Linked DNA regions of Drosophila melanogaster. The protein of the gene in region 1 interacts with the protein of each later gene in a biochemical or structural test. Each region holds a gene or a part of one and is shown on either strand. Other genes may lie near its edges. The genes, in order: Khc and sgg.

What was found.
Region 2: of the proteins of Khc (region 1) and sgg, one has a biochemical effect on the other in vitro, tested with the Drosophila melanogaster proteins (one study listed by BioGRID).

What each region holds. Positions count from the first base shown.
Region 1 is NT_033778.4:16,270,178-16,274,099, forward strand, and holds the start of Khc (kinesin heavy chain), read right to left. Parts: upstream 1,795-3,922; 5' UTR 1,309-1,794; coding exon 1,162-1,308; intron 77-1,161; coding exon 1-76. Other genes in the region: CG33017 (uncharacterized protein), read left to right, coding at 2,135-2,464, 2,528-3,922. UniProt on the Drosophila melanogaster protein: Kinesin is a microtubule-associated force-producing protein that may play a role in organelle transport. Milt and Miro form an essential protein complex that links Khc to mitochondria for light chain-independent, anterograde transport of mitochondria.
Region 2 is NC_004354.4:2,644,650-2,648,571, reverse strand, and holds the start of sgg (shaggy), read right to left. Parts: upstream 1,936-3,922; 5' UTR 1,701-1,935; intron 1-1,700.

The DNA.
Region 1 (3,922 bases):
ACTTGGCCGCCTCATTGTAGACCTTCTCCTGGGATGCATTCGGTTTGAAGACCTTGTCGAACAAATACACCTTGCCCTGCAGACGATGGAGATTAGGTTTAGTATAATGTGTTTTTTTCTTTAGTACATAGCAGCCAGTTACATTAGCTATAAACTGGTGTCAGTTGCGGTGAAATTTCTTTCGGAGATTCATTCCCCCTGTCCCCGATCTTTTCCCGCTGACTGCCTTTGAATCATTTTCAACGCATGGCCGCGAAGCAGATTGTAATTATGAGCATTAAGACATGTTAAGTGGAAGGGGGAAGAATAGTGAATAACGAGCGCCAGAAGAAAGCCACAGCGAAAGAGAGATAGATAGAGTTAGTCAGAGAGAGAGAGAGAGCGTAATGATAATGTCTGTGTATGGAGGCACTATATTAGTGCTGACTTTTTTGGAACTGGTTCAATTGCCCAAGCTTTACCAGGAATATGACGGATTACACCTGGCGGAAAAGCGGGAAATTCAGCATAGCATACAAAGCAATAACATTTCATGTGGCATAAAAGCAATACAGCCAAATTCCATTGCCTCCAAAGTTGCTCTTATTGTTTTTCCTCATATTTTTTTTTTTTGTATGCTTTGCGTGCATGACTCATTGGCGCGCGGACAGGGGAGTGGAAGTGGAGCGGGGGCTACCGTCAATGTGTGTATGTGTTTGTGTGGAAATGTAAGTGAGGTAAGCACTGAAGGCGGACTGGAAACTAGAAAAGCGCATATTTATGCGGCCCAAAAGAATGGAACACCCGCTTTTAGCAGAAAACCGTCTAGTGGGTGGCATTTCTCCACCCCGTCATCGCGCTTCTTTCGATTTACACACCCTATTCTTTTTCGACTGGGGGAAAATCAATTTGGTGCAAAGCAATATTGATTTGGAGTAAAGTTAGTTGGTTTCATCATATACATGTATATGTACATCTAGTTTTGTTTTGTGCAATTATTCATGGGTAACTTTAGTGCCTCTCTCTTTTTATCGCCTGGCATTCCAATTGGTCGGCAATTTTGGGGAAGGGTAATGTACGCTAATAGGCATGACGTCATGGCGCGGCACGCCGAGATTAATGCATAACACATAGGGAAAAGGCACTGGGGGCTGGCGAAAACTATAGATCTGGAACACATACCGCTATGGATATGCAGTTCTCCTCCACATTGTTGGGGAACTTGACCACGAACTTGGAGCCGGCCTTCTCTTCGCTGTCGTTCAGCGGTCGGAATCGGCAGACCACTTTGATGCTGTCCTCGGCGGGAATCTCTCGTTCCGCGGACATTGCTTACAGGGCGGAGATAGATCTTTCTGGCGGAGATTGTTGGATTTCTGCAGCTCTGGGCGCGACCTCTGCGCATGCAGCTCACTGTTTACGTGGATAATCAACGGACTCGCTATCGTCCGCACTATCTGCTGTTCACTGTTTGCTTGTGCCGATTCTGGTACTCCGTTTGGCCCCTTTTGTTCCGATTCTCTGCTGATTCCGACACACTCGCGAAAATTGGGTTGGGGGCGGCTCAAATAAGAAGATGCAGTGAAAATTTTGTGGTTATACCAGACACAAAAGTTGAATTGGTCAAATGGCGATAACGCTGGAGCGCAACCTCGATTCTGACTGCTCCGCGTCGTACTGTTTTGCACTTTTTTGCCCGGAATGATTAAGTGCAGCCGCTAAATGCACTCGCATACGTTAGTAGGTCGGAATTAGTTGCACTCAAAACTATTTTATTATTCGACTATTATTTTCGCTACTGTGCGCCAGTGTGACCGTTCTGCTCGCCCAGCTAAATACCAATCGCCATTTAATTGCACAATAATACTGAATTAATACTCTCAAAAGCTTCGAATGTATGAGACACCCTGCAGATCTTGAAAATGGTAACGGCATATAATATTCCTAATTAAGCGATACCGTTTAAAAATCATTCAAAAATTATTCAAAATTGCTTGTTTATTGTCACTTTTGTTTTTCCTGTCCAAATATTTCGGCTTGGGCGCAATATATAGCTCCAAACTAGGCATACAACCTCTGTAGGTTCAATAGGAAAACGCTATGGAAGATTGATCACCGAGTCGCTGGAAAGGATTGTGGAGAACAGAGGGGCACGATGGCACAGAAGGATATTACGTCGTATTTGAATTTGGAGCGATTGAAGAAGACGCAGAAGCTCATCCGACTTTATCGATCGAACGAGTGCCTCTGGAATCCAAAGTCACCTGGTTTCCATAGTGGTTCTGCGAAGGATGACGCCTGGCGACAAATCACCCGGCGGATGAACTGCGGCCTGACTCCTGACCAGGTGGAGCTGCAGGTGCTCGGTCTGCGGCACTACTACTCCAAGGAATTGGCCGCCATCCGAAATAGTCAAATTGAGGGTTATAGTTATAGTCCAAGGTACTCCTACTTCGAGGACTTGCATTTCTTGGGAAACTTGGAGGTGAGTGGATGGTTTTTGCACTGGATATTGAATAGTGAACCATTATCTTCTATTTTTACACAGGAGGAAGCTAACTGTCCCATTAAGGAAGGACATTTCCCACCCAATTTTTCGGAGGACACATTCATATCGCCTCTAGCTTTTTTAAGTCCCAGCTGCAGTGAAACCAGGTGCGGGTACACCTTCTACAAGATGATTCTAGAGCCTGAGCCACCAAATGAAGAGTTCTTAGGTGTGCACCATGAAAGATCTACGTCCGGCAATGATCGGTGGTATCCCACTGCGTACTGTGTTCGTTGCAAGCCAGAGGAAGACGAAGATCCTTGTGAAGCGTGCGAGCTAAGAGGTCAAAGCAGTCGTCCTCAATTCGGAAGTAAGAGCTCTTTAGAAGGCGGAGAAAGCGGCAGTACCAACCCAAGGATGTCTAATCGGTATCAGGAACAGGATCAGTCAAATAAATTCCAAAAAAGTGATAGCAAACAGTATCGAACTGGGAAACCATGTTCATGTCCCACGAAAGACAACCCAGAAAAGCGTTCATCGCAAACGCAACAAAATGATGTGTACGTCGGTGCTGACAACTGGGATGGTTACGAGTCCGTCGGCAATGGTATACGCAGCGATAGATGGCCAGGTCCCAGACTATGTTCCCAAAAACGCGGAGAGTGGAAGCCCAGGTTCCGTAAAGTAATCGGCGAGGACAATCAGAAGTCGTGCTGCGACAGCTGGAAGCGAAATAATAATGCCGTGTGCGGGAGACTTCTAGACCAGTTGGCCAAGCAACAGAATCAACCCGGCAGTTACTCCGACGATGGAGACTCCGTTCGGAATCAAAGCTGCGGCTGTACGAAGAATCGCCGCCAGTCAGGCGAGGATCAGTTAAACGTAATGCTGTTGCAGAAGAAGTATAGGGATCGGACTTTGTCGAACAATGCAAACAATCCTACCACCGATCGACACAGCAACACTCAACCGATTTCGGATCAAACTTACTATAACACCAGCCATCCAGTTCCGAACTGTTGTTACTGCACTTATAACCAAGTAAATCAAGACGTTCAGCGCTGCAATATCCATGGATGCCAGTGCATTTACTGCAATCAAACTGTGCCTCCCGCCCACGGTAACTACTACCAACCGCATCATGTCGATCAGAATGCCAGGAACTATTCTCGATCAGCTCCACCAGACGCTCCATATGATGAAACGGTTTACCTGAATGACTACGGACGATCTATGTATCCGGAGCCACAGCATGTGTATTGCATCAATGCGGAGGATGCGCCCACAGATGTGTGGGTACAGGCACAGTCCCCAGATGCCTCTACTAACCCATCCCAGATGCCCATGGCACCGCCTTCAAAGTCTTGGAATCAGGAAAAGGCAACTCGGCCGCTTCAGCCAGCCAAAAAAGGCAATGCCACAGCACCGCCACCTCAGGACCCAATGAAGACATAT
Region 2 (3,922 bases), on another chromosome or scaffold:
AAAATTAGCAAATGCTACAATACACGTGTGTGCGTGGTGTGTGTGTGTGTGTGCAAATATTTCTTCGTCTGTGCTATTTTTATAAAAAGAAAAAATGTTAAAGACAAGAAAAGAAAATAAAAAAAAACCGAAGCGAATGAGTGGGCAAGAGCAACAACAACTAACACACCAAGTAACTTCGACTCCGACTTTTTGCCTTTGGGGGGCACTCAAAGAAGAAGAAGAACGAGTGGAAGGAGAAGCATGTGGGGCAGCGGAGGAGCGGAGGAGCAGCCGGCGCAGTTCATGCGAATTTTTTTTGGGAATTTTCCACTGGCAGAGCGACAGCAGCAACAACATGAATAATTCACTTTTGGCCCAAGCCACCACAAACACCAGCGGTCACACTAATAGGCACTGTCATCCATGCTGAAAAAACTTAGGACTTTGGCTCCACTGCGCTGGGAGATCAATGAGGGGGATTCCCTGTTCACCGATTAACGTTACGAGAAAAAATTGCATTTTCAGCATCTTACTTGGAAAACCAATTAGAATCTGCCCAATAACGGTGATGGCACTAAGTTCCACATGGCTTTAATCAAAAGGCAATCAAAGTTTTAAAGCTATTGGTTTGATCTCTGGTGTTTTCCTTCAAACAGGCGCACACATTTCAACATTGTCGCCAATAAGGAATTGCATGCACGTACCGCAGCCCCCTCCGCCCCCCTCCCTTCACAAATGCTGTGACCACTCATTGAAGAACTTTTGCCCATAAAAGCAAATACTGATCGGCGGAACGGTAGATGGAATGGTAGATGGAGGAGTTTGGGGGGAGGGCTGAAGGGGCAACCTCCGCACCAATTATCGCGGAGACGCAGCAGCCGCAGAATTACACAGAGAACAATTTAAGTGTCGTGATAAATAAACAAACATTAATCACCACATCATTTAAACTTTTTTAGAAATCGTGCCTTAGATTTGTGTTGCGTATTCTCCATTAATTCCTGTTTACAAAATGTGCTTATAAAATATACAAACGAAATGGTACCAACAAGCTATGGACTAATTTGCGTTATTGACTGCGTTATTTTTTCAGTGTAAGCTGAAGCAGCAACAACAACGCTACAGTAAAACTGGTTTGAAGACGACGCCGCCGCTTCGGTTTGCCACTTGTTGTGCGCCTTGCGGCGGAAAGAGAGCGGCGATTGAGGGGGCCAGAGCAAGTGAGCGAGACAGGGGGATTGCAAAAACTTTTCCATTGATGAATTTTAAGTTTCTTCTTCTTGGATTTGGTAGTGAAGATGCACTGAAATCGTGGATACGTATACATCGCAACATATTCACAAACAACTATTGCGAGGAAGGGGCAAACAACGAGCGTTAGATTCCCACACAAATCGAGGTACTTTAAAGAGCTTTCTAGAACATTCGCCCCACTAAAAAAATACACATCTCCCCCAAGTATAAATAAAAATAAAAAAAAACATTAATACATTGGCAATGAGTGTGTGTGGGTTTTTGGGTTAAAGTTGGAGCATATTTCACAACGCCGTGAAATAAACTCCAATTCATTGGTCACTTTAGGCCATGTTGATAGCTCTTTTCGTGATTTTCTAATGGTGTCAGGCGGCAAAAACAACAATGCGGCAACTAATTAGATTTCAATGCATATTGAATTCGACTAGTTTCTAATTTTTATTTTTCTTTTGGAGACACATTACACTGCACACACTGTTGACACAAAAAATAAAGTAATCAGGCGCGTCACGATTTTGTTTCACTTTTTGTTTCGCCGTTGTTATTTATATTTATATTTGTTTCGTTTCGTTTTTTTTTTTTTTTGTCGCTGATAAAGCTACAAAAACAACAGGCAAATAGAGTCGCGGAATGGCTGAATGGAACGCGCCGGAACGAGAGGAGAGAACGACGCGCCTGCTCGATGGATTCAACGCGAGTGAGCGAGTCGAAGCATGGGCATCTACATCACATTCACATCAGCCGACAGCGTCGCCGGCAGCGCAGCAGCGCCTGCGCCGGCGTCCCGCAGCACAGCAGCGCTCGCAACGGAAGGACCACCTAACTAATCAATATTTCTACAACTTTAAATAAATGTCAACACCAGTTTATAAATACAGGCACCTTTCTAGGTAAGTTTGTCTCTACTAAGGCATGACACATCATTTTTGGTCTCTTCCAAGGAACATTTGATATAACTTTGATTTCTAACTGACTGACCGCAGCTGTACCGGAGCATTGAACGTTGCACGGTGGGCCGAAAGCTTTGCTTCGCTTCTCAAATGGAAATGGAATTAAATGAAAGAAGTATTTATGTTGTTTCTCACCCGAAAGAGAGCATCGCTGGCAGCTTGCTCCACACATTTGCCCCAATGTGCGCTAAAATTGATCGTCACATGGACGGCGAACGGCGAGGGAGGAAGCGGGGGAGCGTGTGCGGCGTGTGGGGAGCGAGCGAGCACACAGAGCAAAGGGGCGGGAAAGAGAGCGCTCGCGAAAGAATTTCTAGTCAGCGGACAGCTAATTTGCATGCGGTGCGTGAGTGTGCTAGCTGCATGTGCGAGTGTGCGAGTGTGTGCGTATTTGTTAGTACGCTGCGCCGGAATTTCTCATGTGTCGGCGACGCGACTTATGCAAAAATTAGGTAACCGAGAAAGAGATAAAGAAAGAGGCCGAAATGAGAGCGCGCGTGCCGATGAGTCAACAAAACAAAACAAAAACAGAAGAGTTAAAGAGTGGAAAATTCAGTGGGTGGGGAATGTGGGAGGTGGGGATGTGGGTGGCGAGGTCTTTTAACCACCGCTAATTGCGAAAGCATCGAAAAATGCAGCCGGTTCATTACGAGCGCCGCCCGAAAGTATGCAAGTCCCAAGGCCACAGCCATAAATGTTCGCCACAATCGAAATCTTAAACCCTGTATTGGTACATATTTCCACAAATTTCATTTGTAAACAAAATAACATAAACTCATGTAACTTAACCCATTTGGGCAACACTAGCTACAAATTCTGCGAAATTAGGCTAGCTTTACATATACGTAGCTTTTACTTATAAACTAATTAAACACTTAAAAACAATTACAATCTATAAGTTTGCTTTTAGCAGTTATCACCATATATATATATATATAGACTTCAATGTGGGAGAACAGACTTTTGCTTACCCGTTTATAGGAAGTTTGGTAATATGATAGTCAACTTACCTGGAAAGAAAATGAAGAAGAAAATTCAAAATTAGTTACGAGAACTTAATAATAATTAGCAATAACTTCAGCTGAACAAAGCGACCGGACACTAACTATTCACCGACTGGACAAACTGGCGCTCCAGATGTTTGTCCGGCGGGGGCTTGGAGGGGCCGCTCTCGATGGCCGTGCTCTTGACTTTCACATCGCGAGTGGGTCCTTGTTTAGCTGCCTTCTTGTTGGCCGATATGGTTACTGATTCTAGTGACTTGTGGTCAAGTCAAAATAGCAACGATGGTTTTGCGAAAGTAGCGCTTTGTTTAATGATAATAAGGCTAAAAGGTGATGGCCGTCCGTCCTTGAAGTTAATTTATTGGAATATTTGACGAAAGATTTTGAACACAATTTTGGCATTTAAAGCAGAACAGAATTTTGACAATAAATTGAGACAACCACCTTACGAGAATAGCTAAGCTAAAGTATTGCACGCACATGAATGAGGTCTGTGCCCTTGCTAGACTGAGTTTATTATTTTGGTTGATCGCAAGGAATTTCGTAGCCGAATTTACAGATAAATTTAATTTGCCTTTCTTCAATTATAAACAACATTGATAAATTATGGATGGCGGATTTGGAGCAGCGCCAAGTGCACGCAATATATAAACCGAAAAACGCATTTGGAGGTCGCCGATCGCAGGACACCACCAAGCGCAATCGAATACAAAGAAAAATCAAATTCACAAA